Arabidopsis thaliana: one gene and its partners. The protein of the gene in region 3 interacts with the protein of the main gene of each other region in a biochemical or structural test. Each region holds a gene or a part of one and is shown on either strand. Other genes may lie near its edges.

The links.
Region 1: of the proteins of RAV1 (region 3) and SNRK2.2, one has a biochemical effect on the other in vitro, tested with the Arabidopsis thaliana proteins (one study listed by BioGRID).
Region 2: of the proteins of RAV1 (region 3) and SNRK2.3, one has a biochemical effect on the other in vitro, tested with the Arabidopsis thaliana proteins (one study listed by BioGRID).

What each region holds. Positions count from the first base shown.
Region 1 is NC_003074.8:18,738,938-18,750,178, reverse strand, and holds SNRK2.2 (SNF1-related protein kinase 2.2), read left to right. Parts: upstream 1-6,021; 5' UTR 6,022-6,274; coding exon 6,275-6,451; intron 6,452-6,681; coding exon 6,682-6,756; intron 6,757-6,855; coding exon 6,856-6,957; intron 6,958-7,033; coding exon 7,034-7,087; intron 7,088-7,182; coding exon 7,183-7,296; intron 7,297-7,484; coding exon 7,485-7,577; intron 7,578-7,696; coding exon 7,697-7,801; intron 7,802-7,910; coding exon 7,911-8,009; intron 8,010-8,083; coding exon 8,084-8,374; 3' UTR 8,375-8,585; downstream 8,586-11,241. Other genes in the region: AT3G50520 (Phosphoglycerate mutase family protein), read right to left, coding at 761-984, 1,081-1,156, 1,237-1,368, 1,521-1,631, 1,711-1,761, 1,939-2,017, 2,102-2,121; LBD28 (LOB domain-containing protein 28), read left to right, coding at 4,581-5,177. UniProt on the Arabidopsis thaliana protein: Together with SRK2I, key component and activator of the abscisic acid (ABA) signaling pathway that regulates numerous ABA responses, such as seed germination, Pro accumulation, root growth inhibition, dormancy and seedling growth, and, to a lesser extent, stomatal closure.
Region 2 is NC_003076.8:26,708,663-26,719,936, reverse strand, and holds SNRK2.3 (sucrose nonfermenting 1(SNF1)-related protein kinase 2.3), read right to left. Parts: upstream 9,636-11,274; 5' UTR 9,603-9,635; intron 9,518-9,602; 5' UTR 9,241-9,517; coding exon 9,067-9,240; exon of another isoform or gene 8,730-9,066; coding exon 8,655-8,729; intron 8,562-8,654; coding exon 8,460-8,561; intron 8,387-8,459; coding exon 8,333-8,386; intron 8,233-8,332; coding exon 8,140-8,232; intron 8,027-8,139; coding exon 7,934-8,026; intron 7,853-7,933; coding exon 7,748-7,852; intron 7,672-7,747; coding exon 7,573-7,671; intron 7,496-7,572; coding exon 7,205-7,495; 3' UTR 6,994-7,204; downstream 1-6,993. Other genes in the region: AT5G66910 (Disease resistance protein (CC-NBS-LRR class) family), read left to right, coding at 31-392, 487-686, 767-1,599; AT5G66900 (Disease resistance protein (CC-NBS-LRR class) family), read left to right, coding at 2,036-2,822, 2,913-3,316, 3,426-3,778, 3,861-4,057, 4,174-5,006; AT5G66890 (Leucine-rich repeat (LRR) family protein), read left to right, coding at 5,554-5,756, 5,862-6,079, 6,167-6,993. UniProt on the Arabidopsis thaliana protein: Together with SRK2D, key component and activator of the abscisic acid (ABA) signaling pathway that regulates numerous ABA responses, such as seed germination, Pro accumulation, root growth inhibition, dormancy and seedling growth, and, to a lesser extent, stomatal closure.
Region 3 is NC_003070.9:4,537,668-4,548,122, forward strand, and holds RAV1 (uncharacterized protein), read left to right. Parts: upstream 1-4,500; 5' UTR 4,501-4,718; coding exon 4,719-5,753; 3' UTR 5,754-6,303; downstream 6,304-10,455. Other genes in the region: MAP1C (methionine aminopeptidase 1B), read left to right, coding at 7,332-7,470, 7,669-7,753, 7,864-8,101, 8,186-8,347, 8,435-8,476, 8,559-8,630, 8,794-8,873, 8,977-9,074 and 2 more; AOC4 (allene oxide cyclase 4), read left to right, coding at 9,957-10,191, 10,356-10,455. UniProt on the Arabidopsis thaliana protein: Binds specifically to bipartite recognition sequences composed of two unrelated motifs, 5'-CAACA-3' and 5'-CACCTG-3'. May function as negative regulator of plant growth and development.

The DNA of each region.
Region 1 (11,241 bases), on a different chromosome or scaffold from region 3:
CAATAATACTATATGGTCAAATGGACTCAACGTACCTTTCTCCCTTTTTCTTTTTGATAGCGATTGCGCCAATATAAAAAGGGTATTTCCAGTGGTGGTTCTGTCAATTAGACAAGATCTCTTTCTCAATCTCCAAGATAAGAAAAAGTTAAGATTATGATCCCAATGTTATTTGAAGGTTAACACTTAACACTATAGTTTGGTTTTAGAGTTTAGTCAAGTTACTAAACACTTCATTGTTCAATGTTTCTATTCCCAAACTCCAACACACGGTATCTTACATAGAGGTCATTTGGGACACCACGATTTGGTCCCCTTCAAGAACCTTATTTCATTTCCAATATTGATTATTTTCATTGTTCAATGTCTCATATTTTTCTGAAAGAAAATGTATAGCTGATTAGTCATAATCGTAGCAAACTTCTTGATTTTGTTATATGCTTAGTTAGTCGTTAATCGTCTATTCTTCGGCTAGCATATTTTTCGGGATTAATTTAGCCATTAGTCCAAATTATTCAGACAACACGTTCTTGAAAACTAAACCTTATTAATATAATCACGAATGCTTTGGATTCAATGTACTTAGTGAACCATATAACATTTGACTGTAGAAATTTATAGCAATTTACTTTATCAATCCTCCCAAATCACTTTATCAAAGTAATGGGGTCAAATGTTAAAAATTGAAAAGTTATGGAGTGAAACTTAAATTACATAAATGCTCTTCCAAGGGGAAGAAGACTAAGAGTATAGAATCTCTCTAACCAGAGGTTCTATCACCACCAAAACCTGATTGTAAGAAGCCGGTTTCCTCCAGATGACTCACATCACCCCAAACTTGGATGGTCCATTTGTCTCCGTCGAATAAACGGAACACATTGACCGATGTATTGAGTATCTTTTCAACTTTTCTTGCACTTGGACGAGCTCTTTCGTAGAGAGATCGGATCACACCTCCATGAGTCACTACTACTATCCTTTCACCTTCATCAACCACCAAGTAGACAGAAACCAATACTTAGAACATATGTGCAGTGTAGTAAACTGTGAGAAAGAAACACACAGAGAAGAGGAAGAAACCTTTATGTTTGTCGCCGATTCTCTGTAATGCAGTTGTACATCTATCGTAAAGTTTGTCAAGACTTTCTCCTCCACCCTTCATTCACATAAACGAAGCAAAAGTTAGTTGAATACAGAAACCAAGCATCATTCATATAACTAAGCTTCTTATCTTACTGGAATATCAACGTCTGTGCGGTTAGATGAAAAAGCCTTGTAAGCTTCCGGGCGAATTTTCGAAGCTTCTTGATACACAAGCCCTTGCATATCTCCTAAATGTCTTTCCCGCAAATCACGATCGGTAAGCACCTAGACAACCATTATTCGTAGTTAAACTTCTATGAAGTCTAGAAAGTCATATGGATTCAGCTTCAAAACTTAGATCCCTCTACTAAAAATCAAGCACAAAGGTGAAGACTTTAGTGGGTTTGACACATAGCATTATGTCTTTAGATGTCTACCTCAAGCTTGCCGCATTTAGCAGCAATGATCTGAGCAGTCTCAAAGGCTCTCTTCAAGTCAGAAGAGTATACATGAGATATCTTCTGCTCCTTCGATAACCGCTCTGCAACCTTCATTTCAAATGAAAGAAATGTTTTAAAAGGCATCATGATGATTAAGGTTACAACACAATCAAAAGATAACACATACTCTTTGTGCTTGTTGTCTTCCTGCATCATTTAACTCAACATCCAAATGACCCTGTAACACCAAATTATAACCACATTTCAACATCTCTAATCAAAATTCCCAATAACTATACATTCACAAAGATGCTAATCATTACTAAATACAAGATAAAGATTCAAAATTTACGATTTCTAAGTCAAGTTTCGATTCCAAAGATACAGATACAAACTCCATTATTGTTAAATTTACCTGGATTTTTCTCTCGGCATTCCAAGATGTTTCACCATGACGAACAACAACAATCTCAGCATAATCAACATCTTCAGAACTGTAGTAAAACCAACAAAGAGATTTCGTCAAAAACACGATCAAAGATGCAAATAACGAGAAGAAGCTAGAAGAAGAAGCATACTCGAATCTTGATTCCTCCATGGGAGATGCTGAAATCTGACAATTGCTTTAGATTCATCCAACGACGAGAAACCAATTCCATTGATATGACATTAACACTAACTGGGCTTTACTTAGATTTTGTTTATGGGCCTTGCCCTTTGTTCGAACGAAGCAAATATGTTTACGTTTTTTTTCCTCTCTCACGTTAAAATCAATAACAAACTTTATTACATACTACAGTACAACTTCTATAAATTAATACCCGTTAAATTAATAATTTCTATAAATTAATTAATTATTCCAGTCTCGAATTAAGATCAATATAAAAATTGATATAACTCGATAAATTAATAAGATTCTAATTTTTTTTTAAAAATCTTATATAAATATATGGTCCCATCAATAATATAAATTAATAATAATATAAATTTACCAATATATATTATAAATATCATATATAAAATATGACATTGTTTTTCTTCAATTTTTATTAATTTTTTTGTATGTTCAATTCTAATATTTTACAACATCAAAAAAAATTGTATTGTTTTTAAACTTAATAATTGATTTGTACTTGTAATTTGTTTCATAAATATTATTGATTATAAGAAAAAAAAACTTCATTTTATATCAAATTTTTGTAAGAATTTACAAAATTTGTACAATTTTAATTAATTTATCGATAACTTAATACTTCTCTAAATTAATAAATTTTTTTGGTCCCAATATTATTAATTTATAGAGGTTTTACTGTAGTTGGTTAATTTCATGGAAACATGTATAGAGAAATAAAATAGTAACATAAAAAAATCTTGCTACTGCATCCGCCATATCTGGATCTCTAACTGTAGCTGAAGAGAGGCCAAAGCAAATACGTAAAACTCTGCTAAATTTCTTATAAAATATTTGGAACGAAGCAAATAATATTTAATTATTACAATGATATTGAGCTAACTATATATTAACTTGCGGTATACCGCAGGTAGGCTTATATTTTAGTTAAACTAAAAAATTTTATTGTAAAGATGAATTATAAATAGATAATATTATTTTATTTGATTTTAAATGTATAGTAAACTGCGAGTTGTATATGTTTTGTTGATATTATTTATATTGTTTAGTGTTTAAGATTATACACTTGTATTTTAATTGTTAATTTTAGAGTTTCACCTGTAGTATACCATCTTGTATTAATATCGATCTAAACCCGTCAATTCTAGAATTTTCCTGCTTGTATTAAAAATTGAATCACATCATACACATAAAAAAATCTAATATGTTATTAATTATTATTGTATATAAGATTATAACTTTCAAAATAATATGTATGAAATTGAATATAAATATTCAAATGATGACCCGTTACTCAGTATAAAGTTTTCTTAAATCTATTTTTGACTGTTATAATATTTTTTTATGTATTGAACAGTTTATATTTGTTTTTAAAAATTCAAATTATGGCATATGCGAAAAAAACTCTAATTATTTTTTATAACGATGATATTATTTTTTGCAAAATTAGAATCATATAAAGATGAGAGGTAAACTATAATAATTAATAAAAAAATTAATATGATAATTTAGATATCAAATCTAATTTGTTTATTTTAATTGGTTACTTTTTTGGAAAATAATAATGTATTTCGTTTTTCTAATTAAATTAAATTAATTAAAATTTAGATATCAAATCTTATATGTTGATTTTGATTGGTTACTTTTTTGGAAGCTAATATATATATTTTTTGTTTTTGGATAATCATGAATTCAGTTTTATCTAGATTTTGTTTTTCAAAAATATTAACTAACCTGAATATTTTTTGGTACTATATAAGTAAAATTGCGTGGTAGGAAATTTTGACCTAAATCTGTGTTGATCAATTTTAGGTTCTTTCTCAAAACGCATTTTACAAGTAGGGAATAGAATTTGAAGAAGCATTGTGTTTAGGTTAAAAACTGAATCTCTCTATTCATCTTCCTTTTTTATTTTCATATAAATACCGATTTGATTTCATTTTATATCCATTCTTTATCTCTATTAATATATAGGGTTTAGAAATCAGGTGATATTCGCTTGATTAGATTCATCTTCTTATTATGCATTGAGGTTTGTGTTTTCATCTTCACACCTTCTCTAACATATTTGAGTGCAGTACAACGCAATCCACGATTTTGATTGGCTATTCTGATTACTATATTATTTAGAAACCTTAATCTCTTTACTGTTTAGAATTCACATAAAAATTCGTAGGTTGTGATTTTTTTTTTTCAGTTCGTGTATAGACCTAGGCATACGATTTTCCCTTTTGTTTTTGTTTTTTTCATGTTTCGGATTTTCGTGTTTAAGAAAAAGATTCTGTAAATATGTTTGTTTGATTCAGTTTAAAAGGAAAAAATTACATCATGTATTTCGATATATCCTATATTTAAATGTATTTTGTATATATTCTAGAAATGATCAAAAATGTACAATTACATTTTCTTTCTTTCTTTCACAGATTATGATGTTTCATCAAATGGACAAAATATCGACACCATGCGCGGCATGCAAGCACCTGAGGAGAAAATGCACAGAAGATTGTGTGTTTGCGCCTTACTTCCCCTCGACTAAACTGGACAACTACGAAGCGGTTCACAAGGTATTTGGAGCAAGCCATGTGGCTACACTTATCAACAGTCTTCACCCATGCCAAAGAGAATTTGCCATGGACACGCTCGCTTGGGAGGCACAAGTTCAAGCCAATGATCCGGTCAATGGCTGTCTGGGTATCATTTACAACCTCCTTAGTCAGATTAAAGACTTGGAAGAACAACTCGCGATCGTCAAGAACGAACTTGCCTCTTACTGTATCGTCCCCACATTTGTGCCACCACCTTCGATGACGAATCTGGAAATGCATAACAATCCTATGATGATACCGGAACACACACCTAATAACGGTGGTTGTTTAACGGGTCAACAGTTGTATAACGAGGCTCAACGTTTTGCATCCACACAAAGCGCTCAAATGCAAGAGACGCAGATGCAGCACGATGAGGAGAGTTACCGTGACAAAAGTTCTTATCAAAAATTTGGACCATGCTTTAACCTACATTAATCATTATCATATTGAATCTTGATAACAATGGTAAGCTTTTAAAATCTTTTTAAGTCTTGTCTAGTCGTTTGTATAACTACATTAAGATATAAATACAATTATTGTTTTTAGTTAACAAAACATCCGTTATCGTCCAGCGGTTAGGATATCTGGCTTTCACCCAGGAGACCCGGGTTCGATTCCCGGTAACGGAGCTTTTTTTGGTTTTTAAGATTCGAAAAAGTACTTTTTGCCTCATCACTATCTTTACGTTAATAAACTCAGCGGCAGTTCAAGCCGTAAACCTTAACATTTCTAATCAGGATCCTTAGTCAATTTGATTATTTCTTTTACAAATACTCCAACATTCAACAAGGACCTTGTGTAGAACTACACTCTGCCATAACAAAATAATAAAGGTGCACTTGTAGTTATGTACAAACGACTAGACAAGAGTTATAAAATTAGAAAAAGGTTAATGTAACATTGCTGTGTACGTGAAAACGTCTTATATGATCTATAAGAAGCTTTTTTTTGTTCGTGACAAAAACAATTTCTGACTTGGCTCAAAATACGACCACAATCACCCACATAAAGTTGGGATATTTTGGAAGTAAACAAGTACAAGTGAAGGTAAAACAATACATATATACATGAGACATTCACATAATTAATTTAAGAAAGACATAACAATTTACTCACCTCACAATTCGTACTCATTCAATTACAAATTTTAGGAGCAACCAAATTGTGTTGATAATATAGAACAGTAAAATTAATATTGATACCTAAAAAAACCAAAAAAAAAAATATTTGAAAAAAAAAAAAAAAAAATCACCAAAACGCGGCGGCCTTTGTCGTATCAAATCAGATAACTAAAACAAAGAAAACGGTGTCGTTGCAAACATCTCTCTCCTCTTATCTAACTTAGAGAGCGACCAATAATTGCCTTTGTCTTTCTCATTCGTCGTTGATCCATCTTTTTCCCCCAAATTCATATCCTTCCTTAGATATTTTTCTCCTTCTTCTTCTTCTAGATTCCAGCTACTCCAGAAGATTCTTCGACTTAATCTGATGTGATTAGGAAGAGCAATAGAGGAAGAGAAGAATCAGAAAAAATGGATCCGGCGACTAATTCACCGATTATGCCGATTGATTTACCGATTATGCACGACAGTGATCGTTACGACTTCGTTAAAGATATTGGCTCTGGTAATTTCGGCGTTGCTCGTCTCATGACCGATAGAGTCACCAAGGAGCTTGTTGCTGTTAAATACATCGAGAGAGGAGAAAAGGTTTCGTCTTTTTTTTTTTGAATGAAAAAAAGATTTGATATTTATAGGCTTTAGTGATTGATTGATGATCGATTATTTTTAGTTTCCAGATTTAGTAGCTTTCCTTTTTAGAGCTTGTTGATCTAGTGTCTTTAATGGTGGTTACTTACTGTTACTATGATTAAATGCTTTTGAAAAGTTTTGATATTTCTCAATAAATGATGATACTTTTTTTTATGGTTGTTTTGCAGATTGATGAAAATGTTCAGAGGGAGATTATCAATCATAGATCATTGAGACATCCTAATATTGTTAGGTTTAAAGAGGTATAATATAATACACCTTGATGTTTCTTCTGTGTGTGTTTGTGTATTAAGTCAGTGTGGTTTAGAGTTTGTTTTGTGTGTGTTTTTGTAATGGTTTAGGTGATTTTGACGCCTTCCCATTTGGCTATTGTTATGGAATATGCTGCTGGTGGAGAACTTTATGAGCGGATTTGTAATGCCGGACGGTTTAGTGAAGATGAGGTTTGGATTCTGATTTATCGTACTGTGTTGTGGTATTGATGTGTGACTACTGATCTTTAAGTTTTTTTATGTATAGGCTCGGTTCTTCTTTCAGCAGCTTATATCTGGAGTTAGCTATTGTCATGCAATGGTACGCAGAGCAGTGTTCTTGCAACTTACTTGAACTTTTCTCGTTCTCGTGTATACCACTCTGGTTTTAATTCTGTGTTTGATTTTCCTGTGAAGCAAATATGCCATCGGGATCTGAAGCTGGAAAATACATTGTTAGATGGAAGTCCGGCACCTCGTTTGAAAATATGTGATTTTGGTTATTCCAAGGTACTATTTATTTCTCTCAAGGTTTGTTTTCTGAATTCTAAGTTTATATATGCTACTGTATGGCCAAGCGCAGAACAGCGGGGGACATCTTGTGATTCCTCGTTGTGCTTCTTATCGTTCATGCTCTTTACCTACATGTGTTTCCTACTAAGTGTCTGTTTTCGCTTTGATTTCTGCTCAAGTATTAACTATGCGTTTCTTTTCTTCAGTCTTCTGTTCTTCATTCCCAACCAAAGTCAACTGTTGGTACTCCTGCATACATTGCACCAGAGATTCTTCTTCGACAGGAATATGATGGCAAGGTAAGGCCATGAGACCAATTCCTCTGTCTAGAGTTCAAACCAGCTTATCCATATGACTGTTTATACCACAAATATTCTTTGAGTTGTCCTCTGAAATAGCTGGTGTTACATTTTTCCAGCTTGCAGATGTATGGTCTTGCGGTGTAACATTATATGTAATGTTGGTTGGAGCTTATCCATTCGAGGATCCACAGGAGCCACGAGATTATCGAAAGACAATACAAGTAATGTTTTTCAATTGTTCTTGCTGTCTCATTCATCATCATTCACAAACTCATTATCTTTCAAACGTTGATTGTATATGTTTGCTTCTCCACTGATTTTAAAACGCAGAGAATCCTTAGTGTCACATACTCGATCCCAGAGGACTTACACCTCTCACCAGAATGTCGCCATCTAATATCGAGGATCTTCGTGGCTGATCCGGCAACAGTAAGTTTTACATTTCAAAGAAAACTTTGTTCTTTGAGTTCTAAATAGACAAACTGAGAGATCCAATGTGGCAGAGAATCACTATTCCGGAGATCACATCCGATAAATGGTTCTTGAAGAATCTACCAGGTGATTTGATGGATGAGAACCGAATGGGAAGTCAGTTTCAAGAGCCTGAGCAGCCAATGCAGAGCCTTGACACGATTATGCAGATAATATCGGAGGCTACGATTCCGACTGTTCGTAATCGTTGCCTCGATGATTTCATGGCGGATAATCTTGATCTAGACGATGACATGGATGACTTTGATTCCGAATCTGAGATTGATGTTGACAGTAGTGGAGAGATAGTTTATGCTCTCTGAGATTCCTGAGGACAAAGTCTGTTTTGTCCGTACTGTTGAGACACACCACTGGAGTTTTGTCTTAGCTCCACGCACTCCATCGTTCATTTTTGGATCGTTTGTTGTTTTTTACTCTACAAGCTTTGGATTCACATACATATATATGTATTGTAATGTAATATGTAATATATTCTATGTATTTCTCTTTGTTTAATAACTATTGGCACATTTTATACAAATGATATGGTACTAGAAAAAGAAATGTAACTAACCCACAAGGTTCTGAGATGGAGCTTAGCTTGAGTCTTGGTTAAGAATGTTATGATCTATGTTTCACACGACACACGATTTCATGTATAGTGTTATTCGACATCGTGATGGAGGACATGGCTTATGATCATCAGCTTTGATCATGCCGCTAGACATTTGATTAAGATTTGCAATTAGTAAAACTTAAACTGTCTATATTGATGAAAAGATTTAGCATTTTATGATACCATAATGTAGATTTGTGTGTGGATGAAAAATTTGTATAAATATTTTCTACCCTAGATTATGTAAAAGACATGTTTTCTGTGGAGAATGCTTGGTAATGCAATGTCTATTGACTATTGGCAACGACTATTGGCATTACGATAATTCATCAAGGAATCATTACTACTTCTCTCCAATTCATGATCAACTTTTGACACATGACAAAAATCTTCTTCTGTAAAAAAAAAGCTAAAGAGAAGATATTTATGTTACAAAAACTATGTTAATATGATTCGAAAAGTTAAAATAAGGAGAACAAAGAAATGTAACTAATAGTTAAACTTTTAGAGGATTTTTCTGATTTAAAATTAGAACATGTTAAATTTGCATAGGATAAGAATAACAATTTACCTTTTTCGTGCAGTAAGAAACATGTGAATACTATAATTTTCAATATTGACGGAAACAAATTTTCTGGTGTTGTGATTTTGGGACGTAAGTGGTTAATGGTTTGCGATGGAGCCGGAATTTGGTCATAGCATAATGTGTATAGTATATTTTCTATTGAAAATTTTGTGGATCAGAATATAATTTGGGTTTTATAGTTTTGATGTTTTGTTATGCATGAAACATTGCTATTTATAAATAGTTTTTCTATTATTTCTCACCATTATTATTATTTATTATAAGCCATAAAATGGAGATTTAATTCTACAATATGCCACAGTTAAGGTAAACCAATCTCATTTATTCTCTTCTTTTCAATGTCTTCATTACTTCTACTTATATTTTAAAAAGACATCATTTTCTTTGATTATGATACTATTTTATTGCTATTAGTCAACGTTAAAAGGCATTAATTTTGGTTTTGATTCTTCACAAGAATTCATTGTATGGTTTTCAATAGTTATTAATGTTAGCTTAAAGATAAGCAATTTAGTGTGGGATTTTAATAACCAAACGTTACAAAATTTAGTGTTTTGGGCTGATTTTTGTTTTAAATTCATTTCTTATATTTGGGGCTATTTTCTTTATTTCGTTAATTAATTTCATTAAGAGCAGTACTATTGCTATAAATAAAAGTTAATATTATATAAGTATTTAAAATGTAATGAAAATTTTGTGTGTTAATAACATGAATATAATTATTAATATAAGACAAAATCATATATCAAAAAAGTAATATAAAATAAGTATTATAATATATTATATCTTATATTAATATATGTTATATCAGATTTAATTCTACAATCTGGTTTGGTGATACGTTAACGTTATGAATACGTTAAGGTAAACCAATCTCATTTATTCTCTAGTTTTATATATTATGATTATATAAAAATAAAATTACTATTAAGGAGGACAAATCATTTGTGAATGTCAAATGTCGCAATAGTATGAAAAGTTAAATATAAGATATATACTTGTAATACCTCAAATACCAAAAATAAAAATTATTAATCCGAATATACTACATTTGTTTTAGTAATTCATATACATTTGGGTATATTTGGTTTTTTTTTTGCCGTTTTAGATTTATTATTTATTATAAATAATGAGAACTGTTACATAGACGATTCTACCACGGACAATTCCTTCCGACCCTTATTAGATCCAAGAGAGACGACACATTCTTCTTCTTTTCCATGCGCTTGATGGACACCTTCAATATCTTCTCTGCGTAGAATCTTGGCGAACAACTATAATTGTACATCGTTGTAGACCTCCTGCACACTTGTCTCCATTAATATGCAAATTTGCTAATAAATCGCAGTAGCTGGGACTCGAATCCTAGACCTTTTGGTATAGAAGCATTAATGAACCTTTGGTTAATCATTGGGCCAAGAGGGCTTTCATGGATATATTTGAGTTAAAAGTAATCCTTTGTACTCAAAATATCAAAGATTATTGTGAATTAATCAAAATAAGTTTGTGATAAATTACACATAAATTGAGAAATGTTATAAACAGAGAAAGAGATAGAAGAAATGAGTGTGTTATTCCATTGAGATAAAGGGTTCTTTATATAGGAGTACAAGGAAAGGGTAAAACCCTAGAAACATCTAGATGATGGGCTTAGATGATGGGCCTTATAATGGGCATCCATCTTTATTCATAACACTCTCCCTGATGACCATTATAGTATCATAACTCGTAAAGTATTTGAAATGCTGCCTCATTAAAAACCTTACCAAGAAAACCCAATGGGAAAAACCATGGTTAAGGGAAAAAGAGTGCAACATACAATTACTCCCCCTTATGAGTATATTCGTCGAGATCTTTGAGACGGCGTAATCCGATACGATAGACTAACTTCTTGAAAGTAGCAGTAGGTAGCGCCTTGGTGAATAAGTCAGCCAGATTATCATTCGAACGGATCTGTAGAACTCGTACATCGCCGCTCTTTTGTAGAT
Region 2 (11,274 bases), on a different chromosome or scaffold from region 3:
CTAGATTCATCTTCTTTTTTCACATGGTAGATATTGAAACGTTGCAATGGATTCCCTCTCGTAATTGAAGTAGTCGGCATTTCACTTAAAGGACAAGCTCTGTATTTATGGAAAGGTCAAGTGGAAAGCTGGTCTGAAGGGGAAACAATTCTTGGTAACGCTAATCCTACTGTGCGACAACGTCTGCAGCCTAGCTTCAATGTCCTGAAACCTCATCTTAAAGAGTGTTTCATGGACATGGGTTCATTTCTTCAGGACCAAAAGATACGTGCTTCGCTTATAATTGACATATGGATGGAATTATATGGTAGAGGTAGTTCTAGTACTAACAAGTTCATGTTATACCTTAATGAGCTTGCTTCCCAGAATCTGCTTAAACTTGTTCATCTCGGGTACGTTGGTGTTGTTTTTTACAACATTTGTTTCATTGCACCTTCTTGCCATCTACCATTTGATCATGAACTTATTTGTTTTACTTACTACCAGGACAAATAAGCGCGAAGACGGTTTTTACAATGAGTTGTTAGTCACTCAACATAATATTCTGAGGGAGTTGGCTATTTTTCAAAGTGAATTGGAACCAATCATGCAAAGAAAGAAACTAAATTTGGAGATACGAGAGGACAACTTTCCGGACGAGTGTTTAAATCAACCTATTAATGCTCGACTTTTGTCTATCTATACGGGTAATTCTTTAAGATCCTCTTCTTCTTTTTCCCCTGAAAATCATGCATAGAAATATGACCACCTTTTTTTTTTGTTACAGATGATTTGTTCTCATCGAAATGGTTGGAAATGGATTGCCCCAATGTTGAGGCTTTAGTTCTTAATATCTCCTCATTAGACTATGCATTGCCAAGCTTCATTGCTGAAATGAAGAAGCTAAAGGTTCTGACAATCGCAAATCACGGTTTTTATCCAGCAAGATTGAGTAATTTCTCGTGTCTCAGCTCATTACCAAACCTGAAACGGATTAGATTTGAAAAGGTTTCAGTCACTTTGCTGGACATTCCTCAATTGCAACTCGGCAGTCTCAAGAAGCTATCATTTTTCATGTGTAGTTTCGGTGAGGTTTTCTACGACACAGAAGATATAGATGTCTCTAAAGCTCTATCGAATTTACAAGAGATTGACATAGACTACTGCTATGATCTTGATGAGTTACCATATTGGATCCCCGAAGTTGTTTCATTGAAGACACTTAGCATCACAAACTGTAACAAGCTCTCTCAACTTCCAGAAGCTATAGGGAACTTGAGTAGACTAGAAGTGTTGAGGATGTGTTCTTGTATGAATCTCTCTGAGCTGCCTGAAGCAACTGAGAGACTCAGCAACTTGCGGTCTCTGGATATTTCTCATTGCTTAGGATTGAGAAAGTTGCCTCAAGAGATTGGCAAACTACAGAAACTGGAGAATATCTCGATGAGGAAGTGTTCGGGATGCGAGTTGCCGGATTCAGTGAGGTATCTAGAGAATCTGGAGGTCAAATGCGATGAAGTAACTGGATTGTTGTGGGAAAGGTTGATGCCAGAAATGAGAAATTTGAGAGTTCACACGGAGGAAACAGAGCATAACCTGAAGTTGCTTCTAACGTTTTAAGTTTTGAGTGAAAAAAAAAACATTTTCGTAGCTTGTGTATTCTTATTGACTCTTTAATGATCACAATCTAGACTAAACGAGTAATAATATTACAAGAGTCAACATGCTATGTCTCGGGTTTGATACTAGTTTATTGCTCTGTAATGAAATTACTAACCACGCTGTATCATTGTATGTACTAGTGATTTTAAATTATGAGCTTTTCAAATACGCATGTTATATTGGGCCGTAGAAACATAAAGGCTTAATTTGAATAAGCCGCTTTGAAAAAGGCCCAATCTAAGAAAGGCATACTCTCGCACGTACGAGGAGAGCACGTTCCGTCTATCGAACAACGTGTGGTTAACGTAAAAGACCAAACGCAAACGCAGTCGTTTTCCTTGGTCATTGCGCGGCAAGGGACCGAGTCTGAGAAGTCAAAGGCGACAGCTTTGCTATGCAATTCGTCTCCTTCGTCTATCTACATTTTTATGAACCACACATTGATATTTCAGTGATCCCCTTTTTCGATTTTCAGCGATTCTACAAACAAGTTTTTTTTTTTTTTTTGGATTCTGGGTTTTGTCTGAGAAGTGAAAGAATGAACGATTGGGCTAGTTTGGGAATAGGTTCTATTGGGGAAGCTGTGTTTTCCAAGCTCCTGAAAGTTGTGATTGATGAAGCAAAAAAGTTCAAAGCTTTCAAACCCTTGTCCAAGGATCTCGTATCAACAATGGAGATATTGTTTCCGTTAACTCAAAAGATTGATTCGATGCAAAAAGAGCTTGACTTTGGTGTAAAGGAACTAAAGGAACTTAGGGATACGATCGAAAGAGCTGATGTAGCTGTTCGGAAGTTTCCAAGAGTCAAGTGGTACGAGAAATCTAAATATACTAGAAAAATTGAGAGAATCAATAAGGATATGCTTAAGTTCTGTCAGATTGATCTTCAGCTTCTTCAGCATAGGAATCAGTTGACGTTGTTGGGTTTGACGGGAAACCTTGTGAATTCGGTTGATGGTTTAAGTAAAAGAATGGACCTTTTGAGTGTTCCTGCGCCTGTTTTTAGGGATCTTTGTTCGGTTCCCAAGCTTGATAAGGTTATTGTTGGATTGGATTGGCCATTGGGGGAGTTAAAGAAGAGACTCCTTGACGATTCTGTGGTTACTCTTGTGGTTTCTGCTCCTCCTGGTTGCGGGAAAACCACGCTGGTTAGTCGGCTTTGTGACGATCCAGATATCAAAGGTATGTATTGTTGATCCACATTAAGTCTTAAAGTTTCAATTTTTACTCGTGAATAGTTGAGCTGGTTTCTCATGTAGTTTCCTTTGGCAGGGAAGTTCAAGCATATCTTCTTTAATGTTGTGTCAAATACTCCTAACTTTAGGGTAATAGTACAGAATTTACTCCAGCACAACGGTTACAATGCACTTACATTTGAGAATGATTCTCAAGCAGAAGTTGGCTTAAGAAAACTGCTGGAGGAACTTAAAGAAAATGGTCCTATATTGTTGGTGTTGGATGATGTGTGGCGGGGAGCGGATTCTTTCCTTCAGAAATTTCAAATTAAGTTACCAAATTATAAGATTTTGGTGACTTCTCGGTTTGACTTTCCGAGTTTTGATTCCAATTATCGTTTGAAACCTTTGGAAGATGATGATGCTAGAGCCCTTCTCATTCATTGGGCATCGCGACCTTGTAACACGTCTCCTGATGAGTACGAAGATCTCCTCCAGAAGGTTGTTGTTTCATTCATCTAGATGAACCTCTATACATTTGTGATCTACGAAATCTGTAACTATATCAATAGATTCATCTTTTTCTTTTTTCACATGGTGAGTATTGCAGATATTGAAACGTTGCAATGGATTCCCAATCGTAATTGAAGTAGTGGGTGTTTCACTCAAAGGACGATCTCTAAATACATGGAAAGGTCAGGTGGAAAGCTGGTCTGAAGGGGAAAAAATTCTTGGTAAGCCTTATCCAACTGTGCTAGAATGTTTGCAGCCTAGTTTTGATGCTCTGGATCCCAACCTTAAGGAGTGCTTTTTGGACATGGGCTCATTTCTTGAGGACCAAAAGATACGTGCTTCGGTAATAATTGATATGTGGGTGGAATTATACGGTAAAGGTAGTAGTATCTTGTATATGTACCTTGAAGACCTTGCCTCCCAGAATCTACTTAAACTTGTTCCTCTCGGGTATGTTATTTATGTTTCAAATCTATATCTTTGCACCTTCTTGCCATCTACCATTAGTGGAACTTATTTATTTCTTTATCAGCACAAATGAGCACGAAGACGGTTTCTACAATGACTTCTTAGTGACTCAACATGATATCCTTAGGGAGTTGGCTATCTGTCAAAGCGAATTTAAGGAAAACTTAGAAAGAAAAAGACTAAATCTGGAGATACTAGAGAATACATTTCCAGACTGGTGTTTGAATACTATTAATGCCTCTTTATTGTCTATCTCTACGGGTAATTCTTTGGGGTCTTCTTTTTCTGAAAATTAAACTTAATGATTATACAAATCTCTGCTGTTTCTAGAAATATGACTTCTCTATAACTATGATTGGTCTCTCTTTTTCTTACAGATGATTTGTTCTCATCGAAATGGTTGGAAATGGATTGCCCCAATGTTGAGGCTTTAGTTCTAAATCTCTCTTCATCAGACTATGCATTGCCAAGCTTCATCTCTGGAATGAAGAAGCTGAAGGTTCTGACAATCACAAATCACGGTTTTTATCCAGCAAGATTGAGTAATTTCTCGTGTCTCAGCTCATTACCAAACCTGAAACGGATTAGATTGGAAAAAGTTTCAATCACTTTGCTAGACATTCCCCAACTGCAACTCAGCAGTCTTAAGAAGCTGTCTTTGGTCATGTGTAGTTTCGGTGAGGTTTTCTACGACACAGAAGATATAGTTGTCTCTAATGCTCTATCGAAATTACAAGAGATTGACATAGACTACTGCTATGATCTTGATGAGTTACCGTATTGGATCTCTGAAATTGTTTCATTGAAGACACTTAGCATCACAAACTGTAACAAGCTCTCTCAACTTCCAGAAGCTATAGGCAACTTGAGTAGACTAGAAGTGTTGAGGCTGTGTTCTTCTATGAATCTCTCTGAGCTGCCTGAAGCGACTGAGGGACTCAGCAACTTGCGGTTTCTGGATATTTCTCATTGCTTAGGATTGAGAAAGTTGCCTCAAGAGATTGGCAAACTGCAGAATCTGAAAAAGATCTCGATGAGAAAGTGTTCGGGATGCGAGTTGCCGGAGTCAGTGACGAATCTAGAGAATCTGGAGGTCAAATGCGATGAAGAAACTGGATTGTTGTGGGAAAGGCTGAAGCCAAAAATGAGAAATTTGAGAGTTCAGGAGGAGGAAATAGAGCATAACCTGAACTTGCTTCAAATGTTTTAAGTGAAAGAACGTTATCGTAGTAGCTTCTGTGGATCTTGTAATGTTTGTTATTCATTATTTTCGTTGTTATATACATTATAATGGCTACTGAGTCCAAGTACAGAGAAAATGTCATGCCAAAGAATTTTGTGTAGGTCAATCTTTTAAAACCATTTAAGAGTACTACTAAATCCTTGATCCTTATCTAACTTGAATAGATTTGAACAGAGTTATTCACCAACATTTTTGACAAACTATAAATGTAATATTCAACATTCTTAATGTTAAAAATATAATGTTGGTAAATTCTTTGAAAATCCTAAAATGTGAAGTCAAGTCTCCTTTTTCCTTTGCTAGCTAAACTTCTGTTCTGGGATTCAAACAATGGTTTGTTTGAAACTTCAAAGTACCGCGTGACTTTTCCGTTATAAATTTGATCTAATGGCTTTTATGAAGAGTCACGTTTTTTATAATCAAAGAAAGAGTCGGTCAATAGATTAAAATTTCTCTCAAATTGCTTGGTTTTCATCTTAATTCATAATTCTCCTCTCCCTTCATAGGAACCATTATGAATTCGAATTCGATTCAAAGCTTTGATGCCTTGCCCCACAATCTTCGAGAGTGTTTCTTGGACATGGCCTCATTTCTTGAAGACCAAAGGATAATAGCTTCCACTATAATTGACTTATGGTCTGCATCATACGGTAAAGAGGGTATGAATAACCTCCAAGATCTTGCCTCTCGCAATCTCCTTAAACTTCTTCCTATTGGGTATGTTACTTTCCATTCATCTACCAATTCTTAACCCTAAAGCCTATAGAAAACGGTTTCACCATATTTTTCCCAACTTTCCTTTATTTATTTGCTTTAATATAGGAGAAATGAGTATGAAGATGGTTTCTACAATGAGTTATTGGTTAAACAAGACAACGTCCTTAGAGAATTTGCTATAAATCAATGCCTAAAAGAGTCGTCTTCGATTTTCGAAAGGAAAAGATTAAACTTGGAGATACAAGATAACAAATTCCCAAACTGGTGTTTAAATCCAAAACAACCTATTGTTATTAATGCATCTCTCTTTTCTATCTCTACTGGTAATATAATTATTTCTTTGCTCTGTTTCATACACCCTTTAATCATATTTACTTCATATGATTGATCTTCTTCTTTTTTGTTTACAGATGATTCATTTGCATCAAGTTGGTTTGAAATGGATTGTCCAAATGTTGAAGCTTTAGTTCTTAATATCTCTTCATCAAACTATGCATTACCAAACTTCATTGCTACTATGAAGGAATTGAAGGTTGTGATTATCATAAATCACGGTCTTGAGCCTGCAAAGTTGACTAACTTGTCTTGTCTCAGCTCGTTACCAAACCTGAAACGGATCAGATTCGAGAAAGTTTCAATCAGTTTGCTTGACATTCCCAAACTTGGTCTCAAGAGTCTTGAGAAGTTGTCCTTATGGTTTTGTCACGTTGTTGATGCTCTCAACGAATTAGAAGATGTTTCTGAAACTTTACAAAGTCTACAGGAAATCGAGATTGACTATTGCTACAATCTTGATGAATTACCATATTGGATCTCTCAAGTTGTTTCATTGAAGAAGCTTAGTGTCACAAATTGTAACAAGCTTTGCAGAGTCATAGAAGCTATAGGTGACTTAAGGGACCTTGAAACGCTGAGACTGAGTTCTTGTGCTAGTCTCTTAGAGCTACCTGAAACGATTGACAGACTCGACAATTTGCGGTTTCTTGATGTTTCTGGTGGCTTCCAACTGAAAAACCTGCCTCTAGAAATTGGAAAGCTCAAGAAGCTTGAGAAGATTTCGATGAAAGATTGTTATCGATGCGAGTTACCGGATTCTGTGAAGAATCTAGAGAATCTGGAAGTGAAATGCGACGAAGATACTGCGTTCTTGTGGAAAATATTGAAACCAGAAATGAAGAATCTGACGATCACAGAGGAAAAAACAGAACATAACCTCAACTTGCTTCAACTGTTTTAACTGTTAATTTGCTTTTGTGTGACATTGGAATATATATATAATATACACAGATGATATTTTACATTACATATATGATATATGTGTGCATGAAGAAAACAAGAAACAAACAGAGACAATACAAAAATTGGTAGAATTTGAAACCAGAGGATCAGAACACTACTGGTCTTAGAACAGATAGAGAAGTGTTTTGGTTGTTAAAAAAGGCTTTTTATTAGAGAGCGTAAACTATCTCTCCGCTACTGTCAATGTCGATTTCAGATTCAGAGTCAAAGTCATCCATGTCATCGTCAAGATCAAGATTGTCAGTCATGAAATCGTCTAGGCAACGGTTTCGAACAGCGGGAATTGTGGCTTCAGAGATGATTTGCATGATTGTGTCAAGGCTTTGCATTGGTTGTTCAGGCTCCTGGAACTGGCTTCCTGTGTTGCTCTCGTTCATTAGATCAGCAGGGAGATTCTTCAAGAACCAACTATGGGTTTTGATCTCTGGTATGCTTATTCTCTGTAACAAACAACATCAAACATCAGTCATCTCGCCGATGGTTTAAAGATTAGAGATGAGGAAAGGGAATGACTTACGGTAGCGGGATCAGCCACGAAGATTCTTGAAATAAGATGACAGCATTCAGGTGATATCCGTATGTCATCAGGGATTGAGTATTTAACGCTAAGGATTCTCTGTGTTTCAGAATCATTAAGAGAATAAGAGGAACATCAAGAGATGAACAAAAGGAACAACGTTTTAAGCGGTTACCTGTATTGTTTTCCGATAGTCTCTTGGCTCTTCTGGATCTTCGAACGGATACGCTCCAACCAACATGACGTATAAGGTCACACCACATGACCATACATCTGCAATCTGGTAACCGTAACACTCAATGATTGGCTATTCATCCTTAGAAATACAGAGATTACAGAGGAATTCTCTAAAAGCCTTTACCTTGCCATCATATTCCTGACGAAGCAGTACCTCTGGAGCGATGTATGCAGGAGTACCAACAGTTGACTTTGGTTGTGAATGAAGAACAGAAGACTGTCAAAAAGAAATGCATAAGCAAACACTTTAAAAACACATTTGAACATGACAATGGAGGAACCACAAGTGTATAGTTTCTGATACCAAAAGAACAAAATCATTTGTGATACCTTTGAATATCCAAAATCACAAATTTTTAATCGAGGAGCAGGACTTCCATCCAACAATGTATTCTCTAGCTTCAGGTCACGATGGCAAATTTGCTTCACAGCACATGAAAAAAAGTAGAGTATTAACAACAAGTTAGAAAAAAACAAGAATACAACCAGTCCATAGGCTCCATGAAACAGATTCTCTACATACCATCGAATGACAATAACTGACTCCAGATAGAAGCTGCTGAAAGAAGAACCGAGCCTGTTTACAAGAAGAGATCAAACCATAAGGAAACCGGAGACCTGTAAACCCGATAAGAGAACCAAATACAAACCTCATCTTCACTAAACCGTCCTGCATTGCAAATCCGCTCGTAAAGTTCACCGCCAGAAGCATATTCCATTATGATAGCCAGATGAGTCGGCGTCAAAATGACCTATCCTCAAGTACAAGAAACAGAGTTTAAAAGAGTCACTGGCTTAACAAATTCCAAAAAGACAAGTACTGAAGAAAAGTGTATAAATTTTACCTCTTTAAATCTGACAATATTAGGATGCCTTAGTGACCTGTGGTTAATGATCTCCCTTTGAACATTTTCATCAATCTGCAACTCCCATAGTTACAAGTCATTCACAACTGTCCTAATCTACAAAAGCAGAACACTCAAAACCAACTAAAAAAATCATTTCAATATCCAAAATTTCACATAAATCACAAATTAAAATCATCATTCAAGTGTTAGGAAGCTCACATCTTTAAAATCACATTAAAAGCACTCAAAAGCATAATCATCAAAATCTAAAAACGCTAACTTTAAGTACGAAACCAATAAATCTGGAAAGTGAAAGCTAAACCAAACACTAAAAATGAACGATCACTGGACTAAATAAATATCATCAACTTCCAAAAATAGAAAAAGATGAGATTTTTAAAAATGAAACCTTGTCTCCTCTCTCGATGTACTTGACAGCAACAAGCTCTTTAGTGAGTTTATCTCTCATAAGACGAGCAACACCGAAATTACCAGAACCAATATCCTTAACGAAGTCATATCGATCACTGTCGTGCATAATCGGCATATCCAACGGTCCTGTGGTCACCGGAGCTCGATCCATTTCTGATCACAAAAAGAGAAATTCGAATCTAATACCCAGCAGAGAATATGTTGTTGTTGTTGTTGTTAAGTCGCTGGAATCTAGGAAGAAGAAGAAGATTCGAGAAAATAAATGGAAAAATATCTTCAAGAAGAGAACGAATAAGGAAAGAGAGGAAGAAAAAAGGCAATAATTGGTTGCCCCAAGAGATAAGGATTGTCCCAAAACGACAACGTTCAGTTGCTTTGATACGACAAGAGCCGCCGCGTTTTGATGATTGATGTTGCTTCCTAAGAAACTATAACCCAAAAATATTAAAATTAACATGAAATAAAAAAAGAAAAAGCACGACTTCACTCGTCCTTGTCTCCTAAAATACAAACCTTTTTTCTCTAAATTCTCTGTATTTATCCGTTTCGATTTTTTTCTATTTTTCTTCGTTTTTCTCATTTTGAGAATTCGTATCAAACAAATAAATATTTGTGTTAAAAATAAGTAAAAGAAGAAGATATATTCGTTATAAATAACAAGATATTCTAATTAAAAAAAATAGTTTGGAGGAAACAGAAAAACTTAGTTCATAAGGAAAACAGAAGCTTGAAAGTCACGTGCTGCAGAAGCGGCCATGTGATGAAAGAATATTCGGTTGCGTTATTCCGTTACTTGACGGCGTTAGAAATAGACACTGATGACATTGACACTGACGTGGCAACTTCTAAGCATTTTTTAATTTAGTTGATGGGCCTGCCTCTAATTTTTACATAGAAAAGTCCTTTAGGCCAGCCCAATCCCACCATGGATGACATGGACAGTGACGTGACAACTTCTAAGCATTTTTCAATTTAATTGATGGGCCTGGCTCTAATTTTGTTAAAGAAAATGCCTAAAGATATAAGCAAAAGGCCAGCCCAATTACAATATTGATGATTAATTGGATGAATAGCATTTTATCATATTTGCATGAAATATATAGTCAAATCTTAGGTCATTGATTTTGTCGGTCCATATATATATAGAGACACACTTAAATTAGAATCTACTAAGGACTGTTGTATTAAATTGGATGTTGGATTGACCTAGTTAGAAATCTTTATATGGATTTATTGCGACACGAGACATTGATAAGAGTACCGAGGAAGGTACACTAGTGTGACTAGTGTTAGAGATAGCGAGGTGTATGTATAATTTTACTCTTAAGTTAATGAAAAGGAGTGAATGGTGTTTATGGGTAAGTGCGCAATTAATGGGTCAGTGCTTAATTTAATGGCCGATGCTCATCAATTTCACCACCTTCTCTTTATTGCTATACTAAGCATCCTACTGGTGAGATTAATATACTATTATATGCACATGCACATGAACATTAAGTATCCATGTTTCTCATGAATCATTCAGATCAAATATCTAAGCCACACTCACATTGATTTAGCTACTGATTGTTATGATCATCATGGTATGGACAAATGTGTTAAAGTGAATGAAAGTCTAATAATTTAGATTGGTGTGAGTATGTTAACTTAAATGTTACATCTGTTTTTCAGCCGGTTTTGATTCATGCGAATTCGTGAGGATTAAACACATCATGTAATATTGGGAGAGTCTTGAGGGATGGTTTATAAAGATAAAACGGTGATGATATAGAAGAGAGAGCCAAAAATAAATTAGTGAGTGGTCAAAGATTGTTAATAAATGAACCAACACAATCTTAATTGCCAAGCATTCACACTTAACTACTTCTTTAGCTTCATCTAGCTACTTGATGATTATTATATGCGTTTCCTTGTTTATATGTGAAGCACACACTCTCTTTTAAAAAATGATGTAGCCTTTTTGTAATTTGTTTTTCCTTAGCCTTTTTGGTATCATTATGATAATGTTTTCATAAACTAAACTCTTTTTGTTTCTTATTTCGCATTTTAAACTTTAGGTATATATAACAGGATCGATACTTTTCCAGAAACAAAAAAAAATGTAAATGCGGATATACAAAGATAGATTATTCATACTTTTTAATTTAATATTTCCGGTTGACGTCGGATATGTGATAAACCACTA
Region 3 (10,455 bases):
TCGAGGATTTACTTTTCTTTAACCAAACGAATGTTCCTAAATACATCACCAACGAAATGTTACATACTTAGTTGACTAATCTCGTAAGATAATGATGTGGAAATCTAAATGAGGATATATAAAGAGCCGTAATTGTTAACCGATAAGGCGATAACCACTTGACATCATCGAAAGTTCGGTTAGTGGAACAATAAAAGATTAATTAGATGGTAGCAATCGGATTTTCACGTTTCTTTATTATTGCCGCTCAGTACTGTAATTCATGATAGGACAATGAATCTATTTATAAAGTAATCAACTACATTTTCGATCGAGTGATAATGTATTTTTATGTAAATATTTAATAAACTATAGCTTTTAATTATTTTAGATAATTACAGAAATCATTTAAAATATAAGTGTGCGCAAATGAAAAAGTCTATTAAGAACTTAAAGCATAATCAAAACAATTAGTTTAACTTTACAATTATGTTCATTTTATATGCCGTCATTTCTCTTACGTGATTAATAAATAGGTAAGTAACTAACGACTAAACCATCAGCATTTATAGTCCATATAAAAACCATCAACAGCTGATCCAATTGCGGAAAGTCAATGATGTAAGCAGATCCATCAGCAATTTTTCCAAATCAATTCAGATTTTAATATCTTCTTCATTCTCGCTGATAGATATTCGTTTAGACTACGTTTTCTATCTTTGGTCGCATACAGTATATAGAATAATAACAGAATCTACAAAATAATATATTCCCCGCCTAATCTTCTGGACATCATCAGTTTATTGCATCCGAAGAGGAAGAAACCTATACTTTGACGATTATCAGCCATCTTCTATTGTAATTTGATTTGAAAAAGAACTACTTATAAAGCGTTTTGTATATTCTATAGTTTTAATTTATATTATCGGTGTCACAGGGTTAATGTGAAATTTCCAGCTCAAAGACTCATATTCTTTTATGAGTATAATTGGTAGTATATTCATGAGTTATAGTGGGTATATTGATGAGATTATTGAACATATGCAAATATATACTGTTTAAGATAGCATGCAGAGTACCCAATATCAAAATTAAACCATTTATAAAAACACGTTTTTCTCGAGGCTCCATGTAATACTAAATCAGGACTCTTGTCTTGTTTTCTGAGTTAGATGAATATTGAATACCCAAGCAAGATAAAATAAAATAATTTGAGCCAGCACAAGAAATGGAATCGTTGAGTTGGATACAGGTAGGAATCCGAATAAATAATTATGTTTGAAATACATGAGCAAGATGGAGAAAATTAAAAAATTTAAAAAGATGGAGAAAATTATTCTTAAAGAAGAGTTACAGTATTACCTACCAGTTAGTATCGTTTATCAAATATATATTTAATATTACTTATTTTTATATGTTAATTCATGAAAGCTCATAAACATAAAGGGGGAGAAAAATGTTATAGTTGATTGCATTCGTGGTAGCATAAACTATTTCAAACCTAATTCTTACAATAATTGATATAAATATTATAGTTATGTTAATAATAAACCGTTGTAAATTATTTACATCATCATCTTTAGAGTCGCTATAAAATAATATAAAAGTTATTTACATTATTAAAAACTAATATAAATATATAAAATAACTTTTTTAATTGTCGTGTCTGTATATTTTTTCTTCAGTGTGTGTATTTTTAAAATTAAGAAAGACGAAACCATGAAAAAGTTACTTCAACACATTCAATGTGAAAGCTATATATGAAATAAAAAAATATCCCAACGCATTATAATTCAATTAGACAAGTCGAGTTTTCTGGTTGAGAAAAGAAAAAACTTTAACAAAAAAAATTGAAAAAAGAAAAGAAACCAAAATCGTTTTTTCCGATATATCGTGTGTTATACGTTGACAAAATAGGTACTGATGGAAATTATTTACCGACAAGAAAATAATTAAATATATCAACGAATTGACAAGCTAAATAAGCTAAAGGACCAAGTTGAGGAAAAATGAGGTCCACCTGCGGACCAATAACAACTCGTCCGTACTAATAATATCTATTTATACCTATGTTGGATGTTTCAAAAAAAAAAAAATTAGCATCATAAATCAGATACTTTTTCCTTTAGCACTCTTATCTATTTTGTTTCTCTATAAATCACATTCTAAGGTCTTCTACCTCCTTTGCTCAAAAAAAAAAAAGGTCTTCTACCTCTTTTTTCTAAAAACATACAGTATATAATTGTAGTTTTCTTATAAAGGAGTAAAAATATGATAAAAAGTTCTGTTACTCTTTTATCATATAACAAAACAACTTTCACTATCTTTGTAATATCTATAAAAATATGCAATGATATAAATTCCAAACAAAATTTACAAAACGTATAGAAGAAACTAACTAATTCTGATATGATCAAATCAAAAGTATAAAACAATGAAAGTGTACTGGTGAAAATGTCTCTCTTTTGTAAGCAGAGGTTACACAACTTCAATAATGTATCACTTACAAAACCAATTTTTCAATTTGGAGCTCAAATACTTAGAATCATAAAAGAAACATGGATGAGCCCAATCTCTCTTACGGAGACAAATTCCATGAGAAAAGAAAGCTGAGTTAGCAACAAGTGCCACGTGACAACATACTCAATTTCTTCTAAGGAAAATACAACCATCTATTTCTTTTTGTCGCATACCCACCCATATATGATATACTTAGAACCATTTTAAGTTTTTTTAAAACATAAAAATACGATTTTAAATTTGAAAATTTGATTAGAGTGTGATTATCTAATTATTGTGTTGTCTATAAATCTACACAGTCACTACTTTCTACCACACTGATTTTAACAAAATCAATTAAAGTTGATCAGCACTTATTTCTTTCATATGGGCTTAAATGCCAATTTACTTATATATATTTTGATGAAAATGTGTGGTAAAACTTAAGAAACAAAAAAATCCTAACACTAATTAGCGCCTAGGTATTTTGAGCAATGCCTCTTTAACTTAAAAAGAAAAAAACGAAAAAAGACAAAAGTAATTGTCCTGCTGTCAAGAAATGCCCATATTATTATTCATCCACACAAGACACGTACGACCATGCCTCTTAGTGATTTGTCATTGGCCCACTTCCCATCCTAGTGGATCAAATTGATAATAAATACTATAATAAATAATTACAAGAATTCAAATAGAAACCGGCAAATCAATTAATAGATATAAAAAGGAGATATAAATCGTTAACATTTTCTATTGGAGCAGGGAGAGCCAATAAAAGTCGAATCTCACGATATTTCGCAGTTCTCTAATTGGCTCTTTGCATAAAAAATGAAACCTAACTAATGGGTAGAAGAATACTTTTGCAAAGCAACAAATATATCAGATAAGATCGTAAGCTATCCACATCACTTGTTAATTGTCCTCAAACCATATTATATAATGCAAACAATTTATGGCGTTAAATCCTTACGTATTTATTCTCTATAAGAGTAAAACACACACACTGAAGGCAACTGATTTAATTGGATTTCTATTGACCAGTAGAAATACTTGTTATGATGTCGGTCGCTCGTTGGCTAAGTATTTCTTATAAATATATAAGACATATTTAAAATCTTTTTACATTACATACACCCACTTATGAGAAACAAATATAATAAAATGTTGATACCAAATATATATATATATATATAATAAAATGGGATAATTACAAGAACAACAAAAGAGAGATTTTTTATGAATTTGGAATTGGAATCTATCGAGTGCATATATTATACGGACAATAATCCTCATAGCAATACACATTTTTTCTATAAAAAGAAACGTAGGATAAGATTATAGAAAGAAGAATAAAAACCTGGAAATGGAAAATAAAGAAGATATATATCATGAGTTCATGACTAAACAACTATTTATAGCTTTTTCAATAATAATATCATTCAAGAGTGAAGAATAACAATCAGATTTGGAAGAGAAAAAAATTTAAAGAGAGACACCATTTAACATCGGTAGGATCTGAACATGGTTATCAAATCTAATACTTTCTATTTTATTATTTTTCATATAGTTATTATCGTTACTATAGTATTATAGTGAATTAAAATTTTAAGCATCAAAACTCAGGGGGGATGAACTTCACTAAAATGATGTCAATATCTCACGTGGACCCTTTATCCATTCCATGGCCCACACATGGGTCCCACTTCCCCATGCACACAGCCCACAACATATTCATTTCTATATTTGTTCCTATACTCTCTTTTCTCTTTTTCTTACATAAATAAAATACTAACTTATTATAAGGATTATTATTGCTTCGTGTGTTTTCTTCTATAAGTTACATCAACAGTTCATGAAATAGACCCTAATATAGTAACCTAAATTAAATGCCGTATATTTCATTATGTTTCCACGAAGCTTCCTTTGTGTTCTTTGAGTTGACCCATACACACCCATCTTACTTCCCATGCACCTGCACATATACTATAATTACTCCCCTCAAACACGCATTCTTACAAATATATTTTTTGTTATTACCAAATAAAAAGTGAAACATAAAATAATAATATCAGAAGTGACACTTGCTGTTTCTTATTTCCCTCCCCCCAAGCTCTTTCTCCTTCTTTCTATATATATTATACACACACACGTATACATATACACAACATAATTCACAACACAACACAAACACATTTCTGTTTTCTCCATTGTTTCAAACCATAAAAAAAAACACAGATTAAATGGAATCGAGTAGCGTTGATGAGAGTACTACAAGTACAGGTTCCATCTGTGAAACCCCGGCGATAACTCCGGCGAAAAAGTCGTCGGTAGGTAACTTATACAGGATGGGAAGCGGATCAAGCGTTGTGTTAGATTCAGAGAACGGCGTAGAAGCTGAATCTAGGAAGCTTCCGTCGTCAAAATACAAAGGTGTGGTGCCACAACCAAACGGAAGATGGGGAGCTCAGATTTACGAGAAACACCAGCGCGTGTGGCTCGGGACATTCAACGAAGAAGACGAAGCCGCTCGTGCCTACGACGTCGCGGTTCACAGGTTCCGTCGCCGTGACGCCGTCACAAATTTCAAAGACGTGAAGATGGACGAAGACGAGGTCGATTTCTTGAATTCTCATTCGAAATCTGAGATCGTTGATATGTTGAGGAAACATACTTATAACGAAGAGTTAGAGCAGAGTAAACGGCGTCGTAATGGTAACGGAAACATGACTAGGACGTTGTTAACGTCGGGGTTGAGTAATGATGGTGTTTCTACGACGGGGTTTAGATCGGCGGAGGCACTGTTTGAGAAAGCGGTAACGCCAAGCGACGTTGGGAAGCTAAACCGTTTGGTTATACCGAAACATCACGCAGAGAAACATTTTCCGTTACCGTCAAGTAACGTTTCCGTGAAAGGAGTGTTGTTGAACTTTGAGGACGTTAACGGGAAAGTGTGGAGGTTCCGTTACTCGTATTGGAACAGTAGTCAGAGTTATGTTTTGACTAAAGGTTGGAGCAGGTTCGTTAAGGAGAAGAATCTACGTGCTGGTGACGTGGTTAGTTTCAGTAGATCTAACGGTCAGGATCAACAGTTGTACATTGGGTGGAAGTCGAGATCCGGGTCAGATTTAGATGCGGGTCGGGTTTTGAGATTGTTCGGAGTTAACATTTCACCGGAGAGTTCAAGAAACGACGTCGTAGGAAACAAAAGAGTGAACGATACTGAGATGTTATCGTTGGTGTGTAGCAAGAAGCAACGCATCTTTCACGCCTCGTAACAACTCTTCTTCTTTTTTTTTTCTTTTGTTGTTTTAATAATTTTTAAAAACTCCATTTTCGTTTTCTTTATTTGCATCGGTTTCTTTCTTCTTGTTTACCAAAGGTTCATGAGTTGTTTTTGTTGTATTGATGAACTGTAAATTTTATTTATAGGATAAATTTTAAAAAGGGTTACTTAGATATGTCTCAAGAGTTTTATTAGCATGAGATGATGAAAATGTTGTTACCAAATCTTACCTTGGTTTCTTTTCATTTTATGTGTATGGGAACTCGTATTTATATGTATGCATTAGCTACTGCTTATGGTATTTGCTGCTTTTTGTATATAGATTTGAGGAGTTATGACTTATGCGTACGTAATTTTATAAAATAACTCCAACCAAAAGAGAAAAAGTTTGCAGGGTCTGTAAACGTATATAATCGTATGATGATATGATAGACCATACTCCGATACAAATAACCAAAGAGAAAGATATTTTAAAATGAATGCTATTTAAGCTTTTGCAAGATATTATTTTAAGCTTCAGAAATTATTGTGTTGGTAGAGAGATTCATGTTGCTGTTAAATAATATATATGTATTTATAATTCTATCTACTACTTTTTCGGCTTAACTCAATCTAGATATTTGTTTCTAAAAGTGTTTTAGTTTTCTTTCTTTCGCTGGCTGCGACTATGAGTATCTTCAGATTCTCTACAAACTTAGGTATATATAGCTATTTATTTCGAAGGAATTTGATGGTTAAAACGAATAACATTAAAACTCTGTTAATCTCTTACGAAATGGTATATAGTATATGCGTTAGAGTTTGAACATATGATGATAATAGTACACCTGCCGCATACATTACTATGTACCTACATAAAGGAATATATTGACCATTGATCTAATGAATGTTCCGTTCATATGCACTTTCTTTCGATACAATTCGGTGGACTATAACATTATTCCATTATAGCATAAAATCCTATTATACAATTAAAAATGCCCACGCAATTTTACGTATACTTTTGTCTATAACACACATCCACACATAATTCAAGTTGTGTTCAAATAGTAACACAGCAGTAGCTTTAGTGAAAATTATTAGACTTGTTGATACCAAAGACTAGAAAGAAAGAAAATAAATAAATGTACTAGAAAAAATCCACCATCATAATCGTTATTGTTGTTTGATTTTTGTGGATCCATTTAGATATACATTTATCAACGACTAATTCTCAATCTAACAAATTCTATAAGATAGGAAAATTTTGAAAAAGCACGATCATAATTTAGAAAAACACAAGTTAATCATAAAGTTACTAATTTAATAGCTATAATTTCTTTTAGTTACAAGAACCATAAAAATGTCGTCAAATATCTTTTAGATAATCTTGTCATAATTCAAAACTTCAAGCAAATCATATCTTCATAAACCCCATATGGCCTAAAGTAGCCTATACTTGATCGATCATATACAAGCCCAATGGGCTTTAAAGTCCATTAGTTTGTTAATTAAAATATCAAGAACCATTTTTTTTTTCTCTTCACTGCAAATTTTGATATTTTGGGTTTTAGCAGTGAAGTTTGCGAAAATGGCGTCTTCGGTTTTTCTATCCAGTTTCTCGTCATCGTCTTCTTTGCAACTCTGCTCTTCCTTTCACGGCGAGTACTTAGCTCCGTCGAGATGCTTTCTCGGAGCTCCGGTCACTTCCTCTTCTTTATCACTCTCCGGTTTGTCATTTTTACTTGTCACTGTTTCTTCGTTTGCTCTGTTCGTTATTCAATTATTGCTTCGTTTTTCATTGGAAGATATCGAAATTATTGGTCATCTGATTGGAAATTTTGAAACTTTCTCCGTTGTTCCGATTTTGAATGTTGTATAATTGAAGAACTTTGGTGTATGAAGTTTATCTTCTCTCATATCTGTAGGTAAGAAGAACTCATATTCTCCGAGACAGTTCCATGTTTCTGCCAAGAAAGTTTCTGGGTTAGAGGAAGCCATTAGAATCAGAAAGTAATTAACTTTGTTTAACTCTCTTGTATCATAAAAATGCAATCTTGAAAAAAGAATTCATCTTTTGGTCATAGAGCTAATAGTACATTAATTTGGTTTACATTTTATAGAATGAGAGAGCTTGAAACTAAATCAAAAGTTAGGAGAAATCCACCATTAAGACGTGGAAGAGTATCGCCTCGTCTTCTTGTACCTGATCACATTCCAAGGCCTCCTTATGTTGAGTCTGGTGTATTACCGGATATATCAAGTGAGTTCCAGATTCCTGGTCCTGAAGGCATTGCGAAAATGAGAGCTGCTTGCGAGCTTGCTGCTCGGGTTTTAAACTATGCTGGAACTTTGGTTAAGGTAAGATTTTAGTTTCCTTGTGGATCTTTTGTTTTCCTATGTTATGGATATGTGGTCTGAGTTGTTGTTTATATGGTTCTGCAGCCATCTGTTACGACTAATGAAATCGATAAAGCTGTGCATGATATGATTATTGAAGCTGGTGCTTATCCTTCACCTCTTGGATATGGTGGATTTCCTAAAAGTGTGTGTACTTCAGTTAATGAGTGTATGTGTCACGGAATACCAGATTCTCGCCAGCTACAGGTCCTCATGTGTGCTTTTTACTGCTTTAAGCTGAATAGCTTTGAAGGAGTTCATTTGTTTATCACTAACTATTAAGTCTTAATGCAGAGCGGGGATATAATCAACATCGATGTCACGGTTTACTTGGATGTAAGTCATTTGCGCTTCTTTTGTTAATTTGCAGACACTTTCACTTTGTTTGATTTCTACATACAACTTGAAACATCGACAGGGTTACCATGGAGATACGTCGAGAACTTTCTTCTGTGGAGAAGTTGACGAAGGTTTCAAACGACTTGTGAAGGTAGTATTCTTCTTCTTCTTCTTCTTCTTCTTCTTCTTCTTCTTCTTCTTCTTCTTCTTCTTCTTCTTCTTCTTCTTCTCTTCACTGTGTTTTGTCTTCAAGTTCACAAAAAAATGAATTCTGTTTTAATATGCTAACTGTTGTCGGTTTCTTGTTCTGTAAGGTTACGGAAGAATGTTTGGAGAGAGGTATTGCAGTTTGTAAAGACGGAGCAAGCTTCAAGAAAATCGGGAAAAGAATCAGGTTGCAACCAAAACTATTCTTGATTTCAATATAACCGTGTAGAAATGTACTATTTGAGGACACTGCTAGAACAAACAATCTCAATGCTTTCAATTTCCAACAGTGAGCATGCGGAAAAGTTCGGCTACAACGTTGTGGAGCGGTTTGTTGGGCATGGTGTTGGACCAGTATTCCACTCCGAACCTCTTATATATCATTACCGTAAGTAATCTCTTCCTTAGCAAAATCGTTCTTATGTTAGGAAACATCAATCAAAAACAATAGTTGGCTGCATATGCATATGAACCTGGACTTACGGTTGAGGAATTTTAATCCAATTTGCAGGAAATGATGAGCCTGGACTAATGGTTGAGGGACAGACATTCACAATTGGTTAGCCATTTTTTCCCCTTCCATGTCATGGCTTTCATTTGCTTATGATTAGGTGATTACTATATAATAAAAAACCGATGAATACATTATGTTGCAGAACCGATTCTCACGATTGGAACCACAGAATGTGTAACATGGCCAGACAACTGGACTACTCTGACAGCAGATGGTGGCGTCGCTGCTCAGTTTGAGCATACCATTCTGATTACTAGAACTGGTTCAGAGATTCTTACCAAATGCTAAAACTATTCACATTGATCATTTCCATTTCACCTTTTATTTGCTGATCATTTAAGGTCCATAGTATAAATTCATTATCTTTGAGACCATAGTCTAACAATTTGTGTTAGTGCCATCTTTTAAGATCTCAAGATTAGTTTGCTATTAGAAATTTTCCCACATGTTCCCTCAAGTCTTTCTTTATTCCACAAATTCCCATTTCACAACAATTATTTGCGACTTTTTTTGTTTCCCTGTCTTTTTGTGTTTAATTCTTAGTTATTTTAGATGAAGCTAGAGACCCACTTTCCCATATTTACGCACATGGCTCCTCATCATTCATCATCACGATAAAAATGCATAGTACATAAAGTATCCATTAAAACGTAGATCTAGTCTCTTCACAACACTTCAACAGTTCAACTAATAACGCAAAAATCAGTTTCTCTTTGAGTAAGTGTTTATTACAATTAAACTAACTCAGGCAAGTCTATGATCATGGCTTCTTCTGCTGCTGCATCGATCTCTATGATAACTCTAAGGAACCTCTCTCGCAATCATCAATCTCACCAAAGCACTTTTCTCGGTTTCTCTAGATCCTTCCATAACCAAAGGATCTCATCTAACAGTCCAGGTCTCTCCACACGAGCAAGATCCACCACTTCCTCCACTGGAGGTTTCTTCAGAACCATTTGCAGCAGCAGTAGCAATGACTACTCCAGACCAAGTAAGTAAAAAGTTAACCTTTATGCTCACAACTAAGTACCCATTTCATGATTTGAGAAAATTAGCATCAAATTAGGTATAAGAACAAAAAAAGAATCAACCTTTAAGCTCAAAATCAAGTACCCATTTCACAAAAACTGATTTTTATTTTGTGAAAAATCTCAGCTAAGATCCAAGAGCTTAACGTCTACGAGTTCAACGAAGGTGATCGAAACAGTCCAGCGGTTTTAAAACTAGGGAAAAAACCAGATCAGCTTTGTCTCGG